Linked DNA regions of Danio rerio. The protein of the gene in region 1 binds, or shares a complex with, the protein of each later gene. Links are inferred from orthologs where the notes say so. Each region holds a gene or a part of one and is shown in the gene's direction. Other genes may lie near its edges.

Region 1 (3,520 bases):
ATATACAGATTTTACAGCTGAAATGCTCAATGCATACTTGATTTGATAGTGACATTTATTATTATTTTCTCATTTATAGGACACATTTGGTGTGCCATCATCTATAGAGCAGCATGTTACTTATCACACTACAGGAGATGATGCTTCTCGACTCTACATGAAGAAAACCATTGTTGTCGGAAACGTATCCAAGTATGAGATCTTTACCTATTATATAGTATAGAGTATTTTATTGCTAATTCTATTTTTACTATTACTATAAAACTGACAACAATTTCATCAATTGTTTGTGGTGGAAAAGAGTTGCAGTTAAAAGGTTTTTAATGTTTTTGGTCTTCCTTTCTGAATAATACTGGTGTGGCCTTGAGTAAAGCTTTACTTGAGGAAGCTTTATACTTGGTTCTGCAATCCTTAAAGGGATGGTTTAGCCAAAAATGAACATTAGATCATTAAGATATTTTCATGGTACCCTAGACACTATGACTTTGGAATATGAAAAAGAGAGGTCTGGATTGACTTGATCACATATGCCATGCTCTTTAATTGTAGTCTATAAAAATGTATGGCATCAGACGACTTAAATTCAAAAAGAATTTCTTACTTTGGGCCTAGCACACCTGAAGTGGAAAAGTGTGATTGAGAACATTAAGAAAGAAGTGTTAAGGTGACTTATTGGTTAGTAAATAATAACAGAATATTCATTTTTGAATTAATCTTAAACCATTATATTTCCAACCATTTGTTATTTCCACAGGCTTTTATGAGGAGAAATATTTATTTCTCCGAGCTTGTATTCATTTTTAAATGTATCACTTTCTCTGGAAAGTCTCATTATTATTTCTCTGAAACCCAATAAACCTTCACATGGTGAAAAGCAAAGCTTTAGTTTCCCCTAGGCAGCAATCTAACCTCATTTATTCTGCATTATCACACAGTCCACGTCTACTTTACCTCATAAAATTCACTCAAGGCATGTGAGTGAGACACAAGTGTGTGTGTGTGTCTTTGTATGAGCAATGCTATAAGCTGACTTTTTTCCATGCAGAGCTACTAAAGATCTTTATGACACTGTTTACTCCTGGGCCATTGTGCTGAAAAAAAACATGAACTCAAGCTGTTTGTCTGAATAAAGCGTTTCTAAACAATTCCACATTGTACCATTATGTGTGAAGCAGATGATTTCCTTTCCCTAGAAACCTAAAATGAAGAGCACAAATCACATTACTGTGGCAGGTAGCTGAAAATATACGACACGCACTGAGTTGAAAAGAAATGTGCAAATAAGCTTAACTTTTATCTGTGCTGAAGGCAAAAATGCTACCATGCAGTTGCCTTTTGAATTTTGCAGTTTCAGTATTTAAATATGTTACTGAAGAGTTGGCTTTTATGACAGTTAATGGGTAGTTCATGCAATTTGTTTTCTTTCTGTTTCTAAAAAACAGATGCTGCGTCCCAATTCGCATACTATCCTTCCTAAATAGTATTTGAAAATACAATTAGTATGTCCCAAATCGTAGTATGTTGAAAAAAGTATGCCAAAGGTTCCCGGATGGTTTACTATTTCCGGTAAAAATTTTAAGTGCAGAACCGTCCATACTCTAATTGCTGATATTGTCCACAGTATTGGTGCATTGGACATGATTTCGATGAGAACTACTAACATGGATGAAAAGTGTAAATAAACTACATACATGGTGGACTTGCGAGACCAACCGTCAAGTAAAAAGCTTTGTTAAAGTTGTTTGAATGACTGTTAATTAATATCTAGCCCACTGGAAAATATTTAAATGGTGTTTTCTGTGTTATATTTCATCTGCAACAACAATACTGCGCTTATATAAAGATATGTTTGGAGATTACCATCTGAATGCATAATTATCCAAAGACCGGAGGAGATTTCTCTGCATGAAAGACCTAACCTGCCGCTGCTTCTCCAATAAGAGATAGGATGACATGGATGTTTGACAGGGCTCATAATTAAGCAACATAACGATCTGTTAACGAAAAAGTAGTATGTCCCAAAGCACACTCTTCTGTCACACACTCAAAAGTATATATTTTTCCCTCTCAAAAAAGTACATACTTTCGGGTGTAGTATAAGTATGCGAATTAGGACGCAGCAAGAGACCCGTTTTTGAGACTTTTTTTTTCTCTGTTCCAGGTATATTGCCCCTGATAAACGTGAGGAGAATGATCAGTCCACTCATAAGTGGATGGTGTACGTTCGAGGTTCTCGTAAGGAGCCCAGTATTGATCACTTTGTGAAGAAGGTCTGGTTTTTCCTGCACCCCAGCTACAAGCCCAATGACCTCGTGGAAGTCAGGTGTGTGTTTACATTCCACCCGATTCATCCATCTGCTTTGATTTCATCTCACTGTTCAGGCTTTTTTCAACATGACCATCTTTGGATAATTTGTAGTAATAGTTTGAACTTCATTAATTCAAATTGCACCTAACAACACTGAAGCTTTGTTTATATGTGATATTAACATATTATGGGGTCAGCTAAATTACATCACTGAATCATTGAATTTTTTTTAACCACATGAGCATTTTTATTATGAAAGCAACTCGATAAAATGTTTTACTACCTCTGGAATTTCAACAACCTTTCTAGACCAGGGCCTACCAACACTGGTCCTGGAGAGCTAGGCTGTTTCTCAATTCCAAGAACGCAGAGATAACGTACTAGCGTACTTGTGGAGTTCTTGTGGAGTTACCTCGTAAAAATGAACTTAGAGAACAGAGAATGCGTCCTGTGAGAAATGAGATGCTGCTTTCTTCCTGATGGTCACATGATCTTCACGCGTTTTTAATAGAACATTATTTAAAAATCTCAGCATTCATACAACGCTTTATTGTTTTTCCTTCTTTCACTATATGTACTATGCATAAAGACATTATAAATGTATGTTGCACAATACAAATAAAACAAATTTTAATATGAATTTCAGCAAATAAACACCCTTAATCTGTTCATGCCTTTATAAAGATTTTCATGGAAATGTTTACTTTCACCGTCTCATTTAGGGTAACTCCTGAGATAAATTAGTCACATCTCCGAACTTTAATATTAAATCTATATCAGATGCTGCACTCCCCACCTTCTTTATTCAGTCGAAATGCCTTCTGGGACTTCTCAAGCGAGTTTTGTGCTCAAGTCTGCATCGAGGTGTCCTCTATCAAGAACACATCCAGGAACTTTCACATGTCCTCTGCTCTTGCAGTCTTGAGTTTTGGAACTGAACTTTGGCTGTTGATGATGCTGTTACCCGAGAACACGAGGGCGCAAGATCGCTGAAGAATGCATATTGAGAAAGGGCAATACTTTCCTACAAATTTCAGTTGCAACTCTGACCAAACACACCCGTCTGTAATTATCAAGTGCTGCTTCAGGTTCTGTTTAAAGGTGCAGTAGGTGATCTGCCAAAATGCTAACCACTTAGCATATTATCTTTGGACAGCAGGGAGGGACTGGGATTCAAAGCCACACCCCCCGAAATCGCGAGCGTGCGCACCG
Region 2 (3,520 bases), on another chromosome or scaffold:
GTTGTTGTTGTTGTAATACAGTAATTAAATGTGTTACTAATAGCCTGGGCCAGACAGAATCTGCAGACATTTTTTGTTGTTTCTGTGGATTTATGATTTTGGGAGTAAAGTAACTAAAAACATGATAAATAAATTAATGACTTTTAAACTTTAATTCAAGGTTTATAATTGTAATCCAATTAAATCCATTTGTTTGGTAAAATATGCAATCCCTCATGTAATATATCTATTAAATGTCAGGAAATATCCAGTTTCAGTTTCCTTTATTTATGTCATTCAAATCATCACAATAGAATTGTAATGCAGAACGAAATTACGTTGCAACAGACCCATCAAGAACATAAAAAAACATCAATATAAAAACACTATAAAATCCTAACATGATAAATAAGCTTTTATAATTCCATAGAAATATAAAAAATATAGATAAGATATAACCCATTTTTAAAAAATCTCTGAAGAGAATAACTTAATACTTAAATACCTATTTCACCATTTGTTGTAATATTAACAATTTATGCTAGTTTAACAAATTTATTTATTTTTAACACTAGCTATTAACAATACTTAAGAAATGGTATTATTTAAAAGTCTTATAATGACAGGATAAAAACTATCTTGAAACCGCACTGATTTGCTCCTCAGACTTCTGTAACGCCTGCCTGATGGCATGAGTGAGAGCAGGCTATGACCAGGGTGGGTTGGATCCCCTAAAATGTTATTTGCCCTAGACAGACAACGGCGTTGGTAAAGTTCCTCGATAGATGTCATTTTGACTCCAACAGACCTTTCAGCTGACTTTATGATCCTCTTAATGGTGTTCTTATCAGACACACTGCTATTCTCATACCAAAGGGAGATGCCATTAGTAAGAACACTCTCAACAGCTCCTCTGTAAAAAGTTGTGAGAATTGATTGGCTGAGGTGTGCTCTTTTCAACCTTCTCAGAAAAAGCAGTCGCTGGTGCGCTTTCTTCGCAAGACAAGTGGTATGGAGAGACCAAGTCAGGTTCTCAGTAACATGGACCCCCAGAAATTTTATCTGCTGTACAGTCTCCACTGCAGTGTTATTAATATATACAGGGGAATAAATGGGGCGTTTCTTCCTGAAGTCGATCACCAACTCCTTAGTTTTATCAACATTCAGAACTAAATCACTTTATCACTTTATAAACTGTATTATAAAGTCCTATGAATATTTGCATATTAGATCATAAACTAACTGTAAAATAATTTTAAAAAATGATTTAATAACTCAGTAACACAAACTACAATTATGCTATCAATTATGCTATCAGTCAGAATTATTAGCCCCCCCCCCCTTTTTGATTTTTTTTCTTTTCTTTTTTAAATATTTTCCAAATGATTGTTATCAGAGCTAGGAAATTTTCATAGTTGTCTGATAATATTTTCTGAAGAAATTCTTATTTGTTTTATTTTGGCTAGAATAAAAGCAGTGTTTATTTTTTTATAAACCATTTTAGGGTCAAAATTTTAAACCACTTTAAGCTAGTTTTTTTCTGATAGTCTGCAGAACAAACCATCACTATACAATAACTTGCCTAATTACCCTAACCTGCCTAACCTAATTAACCTAGTTAAGCCTTTAAATGTCACCTTAAGTTGTATAGAAGTGTCTTTTAAAAATATCTAGTCAAATTTTATTTTCTGTCATCATGGCAAAGACAAAATAAATCAGTTATTAGAAATGAGTTATTAAAACTATTATGTTTAGAAATGTGTTAAAAAAGATCTTCTCTGCGTTAAACAGAAATTGGGGAAAAAATAAACCGGGGGGAGCTAATAATTCAGGGCGGTTAATAATTCTCACTTCAACTGTATGTATATTAGGAGTGTCAAAATTAATCGTTTCTTTGGTGCACCGCAGTGCAGACACGAACAATTCGGTATCGGTTCAGTAATGTACTGATGTCATTTATTTCATGTGTTATATGGCGGTAGCTTACTTTGGCGTGGGAGGTGACCTGCTGATGTGGTCGTGAGGTAACGTTTTATCTCCTCTCTCAGCTGTTACAACAATAACATTACTTGTGGATCCAGACACAAGCGTGTCTGCATAGTGAGTTTTCTCCACCGCGTTGCCATCTATAATGAATCGGCTGATCACTGCGGTCATTTAACATCAGTGTCCGTGTCACTGTTTGCTGAACTGTTAGAGCCAATTGCAGCCTTTTCTGTTGAATGCACGATCAATCATAGGCGTTCAAGAACTCGCTCAATAATGATTAAAAAGCAAGCAAGATAATATTTACATTTGTTTATTTGCTATAAAGACCAGGGGCCTCATGTACGAAGACTTGTGTTGAATTCATACTAAAACATTGCGTACGCCAAAAATTCACACAAATTTTACATCCGAAATAACGTGAAACTAGGGCGGCAAAATATCCTCATTTCCCTAATTATTATCCACGAAGACCCCCCCCCCCCAATCTCCCCCCCCCCCCTTTTTTTTACTTTCATCTGCGACACCCGAGCCCCCTCCCCTTTAGGACGGCAGAATAGAATAGAGAGGGAGGTTAGACAGAGCCAGTTCAGAGTAATTAAAGGAATTGGGGAAAATGCTAAATTAAATATTTAAATTTGGATGCAATACCGCAGTCTCTAACGCATACTGAACTGTGGTGGTTGAAACGAATGACTCAATATTATATCAAGTATTGTGGCATACAAAACTGTCATATTGAATATTGGGGTATATGTTATTCTCAAGTGGGATTTTAGCTGTGAATTTTTCTAAATGGCCATGAAGAGCATAAAAGAAAGTTTTTATTAAATTAAATTAGTGCTATTGGTTTATTGTTGTCTGCTGCAGATCATTAAGAAACTGATCGAGAGGAAACAGAATCAGATCAGGAAAGTGTATCCTGGTCTCACCTGCTTTAAAGAGGGTGTGCGTCAGATTCCTGTGGAGAGTATACCAGGCATCAGTAAGTGTCTAAAAAATATGACTATAATGTCCAAAATCCTTTCATTCAAACGTGCTTTCTTCTTTCTGTTTTTATATTTATTTATTTTTTAGGAGAGACTGGTTGGAAACCTAGTGCCAAGGAGAAAAGGTCAGATGAGAATTTATGCTTATTTATTCTGAAATCTTAGACCATCTGTGTGCCTCTATTAGATCATGGAGTATCTGCGGCGTACTGATGATTTCACAGTGGTGCCATGTACTCTCTATCACTTTAAAAGGGTGTTTGTAAAATAAATAAATACTTTTATTTAACAAAGAATTCAGTAAATAAATCAAAAGTGGCAGTAAAGTCATTTATAATGTCACAGATGTATTTATAAATCCAAAATCAAAAGAAGTGCTTCAGGGGTAGTTAATGTGTCTGTGCTCTTTGGATAAGGAATTATTAAAGATAAACAACAAAATAATAAGTCCAAGGCACTGAAAAGCAAGCGAAAAAATGAAAAAGCCCTTATTAACATGGCTATTCCTTAAAAACAGCACCTACGCGTTTCGGCAACACTTGACTCAATTGAATATATCAGCCAGA
Region 3 (3,964 bases), on another chromosome or scaffold:
GTAAAACGCAAGGTAGCATGTTTTGACACGTTCGAGCATGAACTCGGTTCGAATCCAGCGTCTGATGAACTCATTCTTCTTTTTTTTCCAGCATATCAGATTTTGCCTACTATTTATCACGAGAAAGACAAGTAGGAATCATTAATAAGTATGTGCATCATATTTTATTTGCACATTTATTGAATGGAAATGTTTCTGATTCATGCGTGCAAATTCATCTTCAGTTGGTGCCTTTATAGCAATGTGCGTGAAGTAGATCGCCCCCACTACAATGGGAAAACAGGCGACCGCTGCAAATTGCTCTTTAATGTTTGGCTGGTCAACTGTATGTTATGGAAATCTTATATACCTGCTAGATGAACCCGTCTCCTACAGCTGCCATTGCAAGGCTCAAAGACACTTTGTAGAGTGCAATTTAACACAACTGTCGAGTCGCCAATGGAAATAAAACAGACACGCACAAAAAATGTGCGTACGCCAGCCATAAAGCTGGCGTGGAGCCGCGCACATTCCCACGTTCAGTTCATCGTTAGTAAATCCAAACGTGAGCGATTCTGAGCGTGAAACCTGGCGTATGCAAAGTTTTTGTGCATACGCAGCGTTGATACATGAGGCCCCAGGACTGTATATTTCCCTCCCCTCAAAAACAGTTAAGTTTGGTATCTTTGAAAACAAAGAATTTTCATTTTGCTGTCATTGTTCTATTATGCTTGGGAAAAATCTTTATTCACAAATGCAGATGGTTCAAATCTACTCCTTTAATCAGTGAATGAGGTAAAACTTTTGTGCGAATCTGTAAAATTGTTGAATGATAAAAAAGCCCATAACCTCATCTATTTTTGGGATTTTTATAAGCTAATTTAATTTTCTAAGCTCCTTTATTATTTTATTGCAATTCATTTAACAAAAACTGGTCGTTTTATTCTTTCGATGTATATTGTGTTTGCCTATTTTATTACTCAACCTTGAGATGACAGTATGGAATATTGTAAATATGTTCCATTTTATTTGTATGTTCAGCTTGAAACAATAAAAAAAGTTTTTGCCAGTTTGTTTTTTTAGCAGAAAACATGCGCATAAATTGTAACATCATTTTTGTACAGTAGGCGGCAATGCCGAGCAACACCACGAAACAATAACAAGCAGAAGAATTACCGGATATCCGGGAGTGTTGCATTGTGGGGTTCGTTTCGTTGATCGCTAACCGAGCGGGTGAAGTAATGAATTAATAGATTCGGGTGCTTAAAACATTCCTCCCCGTGCTTTAGTCTAATAAGCGCGGGATCTGTTCAGTTACCCAGGCGGCTCGAGAATGAATGTTTGGAGTTGAATCATGATTATAAACGTGCACAGCAAAAGCAGCAGCACTGATGTGTGGATGTGGAGAGTCAGCGTAAACTGATCAAACCGAAAGGTACCGACTCTCATCCTCCTCCCTTCCTTGTGCCAAACACTCACAGTCTTTCCGACGTCTTCGGATTTTCAAATGTGTTCACGTGTGTGTATTCCCAGCCTTTCGTGATCTGCTCCGAGAAAACCGACCGCACCATCTGAGTCTCCACACAAAGCCGCCGCTGCTGTCGGTGTTTTATCATCAACAAAGCCGTTGAGCCTCCTCTCCTGGTTTGACTCCTTCAAACACAGAAGCGTCTCGGCTGCTCATCCCTCATGGCATCTTCTTCGGGGAACGACGATGATCTGACCATCCCGAGGGCGGCGATCAATAAAATGATCAAAGAAACGCTTCCCAATGTGCGGGTAGCGAACGATGCCAGAGAGCTGGTGGTAAACTGCTGCACAGAGTTCATTCACCTCGTCTCATCAGAGGCCAACGAGATCTGCAATAAATCAGAAAAGAAAACTATATCCCCGGAACATGTTATAAACGGTCAGTATGTCACTTCTGTTCAATGCTGTGAGATTCCAACAACAAATTGTTCGTTTCTGCACTTAATTCATTCAAAGCTTTTGTAATAAGGCGAATCGTTTATTCAGAGTTATAGTAACGTTACTTGTAGAGGTAAAGTTAGTTTTATATTCGCACATTCGTTCATTTAGCAGTCCCTATATTGTTTACCATCCTGCCTTGAATATTCAATCGGAATTAGCATGGAAATATGACTTCTAAACAACATTTACACTATCTGTGTGAACAGTGTTGTACTTTAATAGTCATTTGCTGCTAATATGATTTCCCTATTTAGAATTAGCAAAGAATACTTTTCTGAAATGTTATTATTAAGGAGAATGTCTAAATATATCCAAATATAAAACCAACTTTACCTCTATATACTACTTTTGATTCTGATTGTCTGATGAACATTCTAAGGTGTGCAATTATTTTCAGTTTTCAATTATTTAAACGGCTAAAGCAGTTCCAGACAGCATTATAGTTCAATATCATTATGCTGAATGGTTTCACAAGCTGCAAGTGTCACAAATCAAATAATGAGTTGGTATGCACAAGACTTTAGTAGTTTAACACACAAGAGCTGTTTAATGGAAAAAACCTCTCAAATGTCTTAAATTACGTCTTTCAGTCTGGAAACCATAGTACAAGTGGAATAATTTACTCTGGTTTATTCATTAAATTAGAAAATAATGCACATCTGCTTTGCATTGTGGCCGCATCACCACCTTGGTTGTGCATTATTTTTGAATAATTAAATACGCATGGGCTGGTGTAAGATTCTGACTATATGATAACCTTTGATAAAAATTGCACGGTTTCATGGTATTGTGATTACTGCTCTAAAATAATATATTCTTTTTAAATGTCGGGGTAAAACAAAACAAAAAAATCCCTTTTGAACACAATATATTTTATGTTATGAAACATTTAAAATATTCTGGAACAGTAAACTTCAGACTAAATAATTCAAATGAATCATTGACTTCTGCTGTCTTCACTTATTTCAAAAACACATTTTTTTTTTACAGTTAAAAACAGCATCTTTGGATATCTTTTATGCTGGACAAACTGTTGTCCAAAAAAAAGCAAGAAAAATGTAAATAAACAATCTTACACATCACCTTAGCAACAGTATTGCAAAAAAATTTGATGGTTTTAAAACCTTGACTTTTTCATACCGCGGTATACCTTGAAAATGGTTATCATTCTATGCCTAAATTCAATGGTCTATTGTAAATTATTCCTTGTTCAATTGGTCTGCAAGTGGTCTTGAGACGCTTGAAAATAAATGATGCGGTGGTTTATGTAGGACTGGGCAGTATGGCCATGTTAATATGCTAAAATTGTTTACATCAGAGTCAGTATCAATAATTATCAAAATAAAATGTCTATTTCTTTAGTTAAAGTGCAGATTATAGCCTCTGGGAGAAAGTTCCAAAAACCAGAATAGTAAATTGTAAAACTAAATTTTATTGTCAAAGATGACAAACATCCAACCTAATGAGCAAGACCCTTTAGCATGTGAACATACAAACAAACTCGAGCAGCTGTTTGTGCTAATGGATAAACAATCTATGTTGTGCAAAGGAACAATGCAGTTATGATATGCTAATGTATTCCACTATTATGTTAAACATTTATAACGTGTTGTTTTACAGAGGGAAAAATTATTACAATAAATATGGTTTTATCGCCAAGCCCTAGGTTTGTGGTGAGAAAACAATTCACCTTAAACAGGGGTCTCAAACTCGCGGCCCGCGTGCCATTTGCGGCCCTCAGTGCAATATTTTGTGGCCCGCGCCGACCGCTGATTCTATCCGTACACAGCGGTCACTGGCATTCCCCGCCTGCCGTGTAAACAAAGGGGCGGGGATGCTGGTGACGTCACCACGCACCCCGCCCCTTTGTTAGACGCTGTGACGGGCGGGAAGTGTTGATTTTTACTTCTGAGTCAAACACCGGCGTAGGCTACGTCGCTGACGCATAGCCCTTCGCCGTGGCCGTCGCCGTCACTGACGTGCACCTCTCAAAAATTGTAACTACACGTTGTAA
Region 4 (3,520 bases), on another chromosome or scaffold:
GTGTATTACGGTAACAGGGAAGATGACGAGGTCACTCTCTACATTGAAACCGATGTCATAGAAAAATGTAATTGATGTTCTTGGCTTGGTGAAAGATGAACAAACAATCCTACCCAAAACATGCTAAATTTGCCAGATCAGTAGTACTTTGCATCCCGGCTTTGCATTCCAATTTCTAAGTGTCTTACAGCCTACGTTTGTTATGAATAAATTAGGTTAAAACGCATATAAAAGACACATTCATGAAAAAAGCCAAAAGAGCTTTGTGCATGTGCACGTGAATAATGTAGGGCTATAAACAAGTTTGAGCTTTTAAAAAGCTGTCAATCAAAATGTACCTCTTAGGCTCGGGTCGAATTCAGTCAGGCTCAGGCTCTATCGGGCCTAACTTTTATGGCCCGATTACAGCTCTATCACTCCTGTCAGCCAAGAACTAGAAAACTTAGGCAACAATTGGCACAAGCTCACCAAAATTTGATAATAGAAGATTAGAAAATCGTTGCCTGCTCTGACAAATCTCTATTTCTGCTGCAACATGCAGGCCCCGTTTACACTAATGCGTTTTAGTTTGAAAACGCAAAAGTTTTGCTACGGTTACGCCATCCCTCCACACTACGCCAGAGTTCTCGAGCGCCGAAAACGGAGCTTTTTGAAAAAGCTGGAAAGGCCGTTTTCATTCTAAAACGCTGCTGCTCCGTCTCAGTGTGGATGGGTAAAGACGGAGACATCTGAAAACGGAGGCGGGGCTGCAAACGTTCGCCTATCTGATTGGGGCTTTTCCTCAATATTAAGTAGCCCACGCACAGTTCAGTCTCGCATCCTCTTCTTGTAAGTTAAGACTTCGCAAGTTTGATCAAGGCTGCAGTCTCCCCCTTTTCAGTTTGATATGGAAAACATACCGAGGACACGGGTAAATCTTCAAAGGGAACAGTGTACTTTATAACTTTATTCACATCACCTTGGCTACGTTGTTTCACTTTCTCAACAATAAAATGTAATCATTATTTAAGGAACTGCCTATTTTCTTTTTAATATTAGCAACTTAACTGACAGCAGAAATGTTGAGGCGCCGTGCTGCATATATGGGCGTCATCTTCACTGTGTGGATATTTATAACAAAACGGAGCCTATAACAACTGCCTCCTTTCAATTTCAGTGAAAATACGAAACGCACCCTCTCTTTTGCTGAATATCAGTTTTAATAATTGATAATTATAAAAGTATAACATACAATAAGTTTATACATTGTAGGAAATAAAGGCAAGCGATCAGTCAATGTACCTGGATTAATCATTAACTTATCTTTGCGCTTAACCAAAACATGTTACCCGTGAACAAGTAACTTAATAGATTCCAATGACCAAAGTCAGGGAATTGGCCTATGTCGTTAGATAAAGACAACAACATGAATGAAATATCACGTTTAGCAAATATAGTGGGATTAGATCCAGCGGGAGATGCTTGATGAGCAGTCCGACAAGCAGAGCTCTCATCTGGGTAGAAATGCTGGAGCGCTTGCCCGAGAGTGTCTGTGTGATCACGTGATGTGCGTTTTCAACGTTTTGGTGTGGACGGAGAGCTGTTCAGAAACGCTGGGTAAAACGCGAGTGTGGACGCGGATCGTTTTCATTCTACAACGCCGTTTTAAAACTAAAACGCACTAGTGTAAACGGGGCCTCAGATGGTAGGGTCAGAATTTGGCGTAAACAACACAAAAGCATGGATCCATCCTGTCTTGTATCAATGGATCAGGCTGGTGGTGGTAGTGTATCGATTTGAGGGATTTTTTTCTTTGCACACTTTGGGTCCATTAGTATCCAATTGAGTATTGTGTCTGCCACATCCTACCTGAGTACTGTTACTGACCATGTCCATCCATTTATGACCACAGTGTACCCATCTTCTGGTGGCTACTTCCATCAGGATAACGCGCCATGTCATAAAGCCAAAAAATATCTAAAACCGATTTCTTGAACATGACAATGAGTTCACTGCACTTAAATGGCCTCCACAGTCACCAGAACTTAATCCAATGAAGCACTTTTGGGATGTGGTGGAACGGGAGATTCGCATCATGGATATGCAGCAAACAAATCTGCAGCAACTGCACGATGCCATCATGTCATTATGGACTGAAATCTCAGAGGGATATTTCCATTACCTTGTTGAATCTATGCCGTGAAGGATTAAGGCTGTTCTACAGGCAAAAGGGGGGTCCAACCCGGTACTAGTAAGGTGTACCTAATAAAGTGGCCAGTTAGTGTAAGTACACGCATACGTTTTTATTGATTACATATAATGCAATCTTTTTTTTTTTTTTTTTTCAACTGATTTTTTTTTAAATCACAGTATTGGGCTTCAAAACAGAAAATGAAAAGTGTCACATTTTTATACATCTGTTATTTAAGACTTTTAAGTCTAAAAAGTCAAATAAAACATTGTTTTCAAAGTCAAATTGTCCTTTCATCAGTCTGTGAGATTTCCAGTATACAATATTATTGTATACTGGGTTTAGTTAACTTAATGCTAGTTGCTTTTTATTTTTTTATTTATGTACATTTTACCTGCGTATTTTACTTGCTTCTATGTGAATTAATGTCTGTCGTTTTGCAATTGTTATTAAACATACTCATTGCAATATTTCAGTTCTAAACTATGAAGATTTGCACCACTCCCATTAATTCACTGCAGAAACTGAAAGTTTAAATGGATGGTGCCTTCATGCCTCTGTTGCTGCATTGTCGATGCATATTCGACCGTGAGAGCTGAATGCACTTATGAGTCATTCACCCTGATATCATCTCAGACTATAAGCACACAGCTTTTCAGAGAATACACAGAATGTTACAGCATTGCAATCTTTTTCAGTGGGATAATCAGACCAAGTCATTTTAAAATTTTATTTTTATTTTGATTGCAGCTTTAAACGTTTATTTAATTAATTATTACACTTGAACTACCCTCAAGGAAGTCCTAGTGTCTTGTGAACAACACAAAGTCATGATGTAATTTTTTTTTTCTCTCTCTCGTCCAGCTGCTGATAAGCTGATCAAAATATGGGGTGCATATGATGGCAAGTTTGAGAAGACGATATCTGGACACAAACTTGTGAGTTCCTTGTATGTTTTGTTGGTATTTCTGTCATCATTGTTTCACTTCTATAGTGTTATCTTCATTTGCTTTTAGTTGTTAGCCTTATTTTATTTTCAGTTGAACTTTGTCTGTACAGCACTTTGGATTCAGTTATAGTGTTGAAAGTGTTCTATAAATAAAGTTGAGTTCCCCAAAAGATCTGGCTTCTCTGTAATGTTTTACTGTACCAGATTGCTGTTGTGAACTGGATTTCTTTCTCCTGCAGGGCATCTCAGATGTAGCCTGGTCTTCAGACTCCAACCTCCTGGTCTCAGCTTCTGATGACAAGACTTTGAAGATCTGGGATGTGAGCTCTGTAAGTTAAGGCAAAACTGAACATTCGAAAGAAAAATGTAAAACCTAAACTGATGAAAGCAAGCAGAGTGAG
Region 5 (3,520 bases), on another chromosome or scaffold:
GCCAGCTCGAGCAGACTTCATGGAGGTAAGAGATCTGCAGCTACTAGACTTTAGTCAGGGTTACACCTTATTTCAATATTGACATGGATGAAAACAAATTTGTAGGGAATAGAAATGCATGCCTTCAGTGGAGTGTAAGTAAGATAAAGTACATCCAAGTGGTTCTTATCGCATCAGCGAAGCAAATCTGTGGAGTGTTGTTCTGTGGAGAAAAAAAAACAACCGACTGGATGTACTTTATGCCACTTATTACACAGGTACTTGTCACTAAACGTAAAAATGTGACTCAAAGCTTGTATGTTGTATTCAGCCGTAAAAGTTTATTAAGTGTTTAATTAAATGCAAAACAAGAAATGAAAATGGCTGAATGGAGCAAACAATAACCAGGGTGTCTGCAGGTTCTTAAGTCTTAAAATGTCTTGCATTTCAACAACTAAATTTTAGGCTTTAAAAATGATTAAATTTGCTAAAATGTTGTCTTGTAGGTCTTAAATAGTTTTTTTTTACAGGTCTTAATTTTCATATGTCCAAATCAGGGGTACGTTTTCGAAAGCCAACTAAGGTCGCAAGTTCCGTCGTTACAACCATAGTTCATTTATTTAGCATTTTTCAAATCCGTCTTTCCAAAGAACATTCACAAACTGCATCGCAAACTTCAATGTTTGCAACTACACCTTTGGAGCTGTAGTTAGAAACATAGTTCCTGGCTGTGTTCTATTCCCAGTTATTGTAGTTATATGCCCAGTTATATGCCCTATACATTCTAACATTTAAACTTGAAATGATTTTTAAAAAATTAAGTCATCACTCTTAAGTGTAATTTGCTGTCAAAGTATTTTTACAGATCAGTTTTAGCAGTCTTGCGTTGCCGCTTTAGTGCACTTTAAAAGCATTCATGTCATTTTGAACACAGCCGTGGCTCATGATGAAAGCTACAGGTGACCTATTATTTAAAAGCTAATGGTTTTAATATCTAGTATGTATTTATTAAGTATCTGTACTGTATATGACGTGGGCCTGTTAGTTAGAACATTTGTGCAGTGGTTTGCATGTGTCAAATTGTAAAAGTAGACTTTTCAAAAAAATAAATAAATAAACAATATTCTACTTAATAATAATAATCAGTGATATTATTGATATTATTATTAAAGTAAGATTTTTTTCATTTCCTAATAAATAATAAATATAACATTTTATTTCTTAATAAATAGACTGTCTATTTATTTAGTTGTATGATTAATATATGATACTAGAATACGTGGTTGCTTTTGTAAGTGATTTTATGTTTTAGAATAGAATATGTAATGTTCTCAATAATATTTGTAAAGAAAACAGGCCCTATATATGCCGTTTACATACAGTATATTACAATTAATCTGGAAAGCAATTGCATGTTTTTACTAAAACTAAAATTGGATTTTTTTTAAATGTGTGTCCCTGTGAAACAATATAATTTGCACAAAGAAATTATGGGGTTCCTCTCTAAATAAGCTGTTACCACCTGATTTAGAGTACCATTATAGGCGGTTTACATGATATCTAACATGGTTCAAATTATGGATCGACAGAGAAACTACGGTTTTGGGGAAACACTCATCACTACATCTTTCTTTTTTCCAAACGATGCATCGTACTATGATAGTTAATCCCGGAGTTACGTCGTTGTTTGAGAAAAGCACCACAGGCCGACACCGACACAGTCCATCTCAATAAAACTTTACTCTATTTATAACTCTGTTTACCAATATGGATTAGTTGTCTTCCCTACAATTACATTGGTTAAAAAGTTCTCTATGTATTTATAGACCATATATGTTGGGGACACTGACCTGGACCGACTGTTATACTTTTAGTTTTTTTTAAAGTTTATACAGCTTGTCAATCTTCTTTAACAACAACAACAACAAAATAAGTGTGTAAGTACACAACTAGGTTTTGCTTTGTTTTGACACATTTAAAATATGTGGCTAACATAACTTATTTGAATTTATTATATAAAACTCTTTTTGTGCTTGCCCAAATGGGCCATTGGAAATAGTCCTTAGCATTTAGCCTTGTTTTAGTCGAAAATTGTATCTATAGTGGTGTTAAAAAGTCTTAGGTACGTTCACACCGACACGGATGAATCGTCAAGTGCGAGTGATCTATGTGTTAAGTCAATGCAAAGATGACCCTGCAGATGCTATTTTAGCCTTGCTCCATACGATCAGCAAGCACATTCAGCACCCTGGTGCTTTGCCAGAATTTTATTGATTTTAGTTCAGCTTTTAATACTAATTAATCAGAATCTTGACTATTTAGAATAAAGTATTCCAGAGCCATGTGATATTGTTGTTTAACGGTTGTTTAAAATCAATACATGAAATGTCTTCTTTAAAAAAAAAGAAACAATAGCAAAAACACCCTTAAACCTTTGTATGAATGTTTTGATATTTATACAGCCTGATACAGGCTTGTTTCCATAAATTCAATATGCCGTCTAATGACTGTCTGTTTAGAACTTATGTAATTCATACATTTTTTAAAGCAACCTCTCTTTCTCTTTTTGTCTCTGAAATTAGGAGTTTGATAATTACGCTGAATGGGATTTAAAAGATATTGACTTTGTCGATGATGATTCTGATATCCTTCATGGTAAGTGCAACAGTAGAGAAAATGAGTACATTTGTTCTCTCATTTTACTGAAATCAAATGTTATTTTTACAATGTAGCATTATCATAACCTGTTTGCCATTGAAAAATCATAGTTGTTATTGCTGGCTTAATGAGATCAAACATCATTATGGTCTTTTTTTACTTTTATTTCTATTATAAAACATCCTGAATTTAGTTTTCTATATCCATTTTGATGCTATTATACAAATTTTTATTGTAATGTTTGATTTTAATTGAATTTTAGATTATTTTATTATTTTTTATTATGGTTTATTATTTTTAAGTTGAACCACTTAAGTTTAATTAAATTGTATTTCAGCTATAGTATTATTATAAGTTAAATTTTCATACTTTAGCTAGATACAAATACTTAGCAAATCATCATATTTAATTTAATTTAAAATTAACATTTTATTATTTATAATGTTTTTCATATATACTATTATACATTATTTTAAAATATATATATATATATATATATATATATATATATATATATATATATATATATATATATATATATATATATATATATATATATATATATATATATATATTAGATTATATTTGTGAAAACAAACTGAATGCTAAATTCTTGGTAACTACTTTTTACCATGTTTGTGGTATTATTGTGTTATTGCAGCACTGAAGGTTGCTGTAGTGGATATTTATCACTCCAGACTAAAGGAAAGACAGAGGAGAAAAAAGTAAGTAGAAAAAAATACTTGTACTGCATAACATCAACCTCTAGAGGGCCACCCTTCCCTATTAAATTAGATTTCAAATTAGAGCGTTATTTCTAAGGGCCCCTTTCTCAATTAACAAATTATATATCTGAACAAAAATATGTAACACTCATATGATA

Evidence for each region.
Region 2: yeats2 (region 1) and kat2a share a complex: the UniProt entries of both Homo sapiens proteins name them as parts of the ADA2A-containing complex. The link is inferred for Danio rerio from reciprocal best matches to the Homo sapiens genes YEATS2 and KAT2A.
Region 3: yeats2 (region 1) and dr1 share a complex: the UniProt entries of both Homo sapiens proteins name them as parts of the ADA2A-containing complex. The link is inferred for Danio rerio from reciprocal best matches to the Homo sapiens genes YEATS2 and DR1.
Region 4: yeats2 (region 1) and wdr5 share a complex: the UniProt entries of both Homo sapiens proteins name them as parts of the ADA2A-containing complex. The link is inferred for Danio rerio from reciprocal best matches to the Homo sapiens genes YEATS2 and WDR5.
Region 5: yeats2 (region 1) and tada2a share a complex: the UniProt entries of both Homo sapiens proteins name them as parts of the ADA2A-containing complex. The link is inferred for Danio rerio from reciprocal best matches to the Homo sapiens genes YEATS2 and TADA2A.

Annotation. Positions count from the first base shown.
Region 1 is NC_133177.1:47,776,058-47,779,577, forward strand, and holds part of yeats2 (YEATS domain-containing protein 2), read left to right. Parts: intron 1-79; coding exon 80-192; intron 193-2,161; coding exon 2,162-2,323; intron 2,324-3,520. UniProt on the Homo sapiens protein: Chromatin reader component of the ATAC complex, a complex with histone acetyltransferase activity on histones H3 and H4. YEATS2 specifically recognizes and binds histone H3 crotonylated at 'Lys-27' (H3K27cr).
Region 2 is NC_133178.1:16,348,524-16,352,043, forward strand, and holds part of kat2a (histone acetyltransferase KAT2A), read left to right. Parts: intron 1-2,835; coding exon 2,836-2,950; intron 2,951-3,042; coding exon 3,043-3,079; intron 3,080-3,520. UniProt on the Homo sapiens protein: Protein lysine acyltransferase that can act as a acetyltransferase, glutaryltransferase, succinyltransferase or malonyltransferase, depending on the context.
Region 3 is NC_133181.1:26,454,415-26,458,378, reverse strand, and holds the start of dr1 (protein Dr1), read left to right. Parts: upstream 1-1,163; 5' UTR 1,164-1,668; coding exon 1,669-1,888; intron 1,889-3,964. UniProt on the Homo sapiens protein: The association of the DR1/DRAP1 heterodimer with TBP results in a functional repression of both activated and basal transcription of class II genes.
Region 4 is NC_133196.1:19,684,624-19,688,143, forward strand, and holds part of wdr5 (WD repeat-containing protein 5), read left to right. Parts: intron 1-3,034; coding exon 3,035-3,108; intron 3,109-3,358; coding exon 3,359-3,448; intron 3,449-3,520.
Region 5 is NC_133190.1:18,226,693-18,230,212, forward strand, and holds part of tada2a (transcriptional adapter 2-alpha), read left to right. Parts: coding exon 1-25; intron 26-2,561; coding exon 2,562-2,634; intron 2,635-3,298; coding exon 3,299-3,362; intron 3,363-3,520. UniProt on the Homo sapiens protein: Component of the ATAC complex, a complex with histone acetyltransferase activity on histones H3 and H4. Required for the function of some acidic activation domains, which activate transcription from a distant site. Binds double-stranded DNA.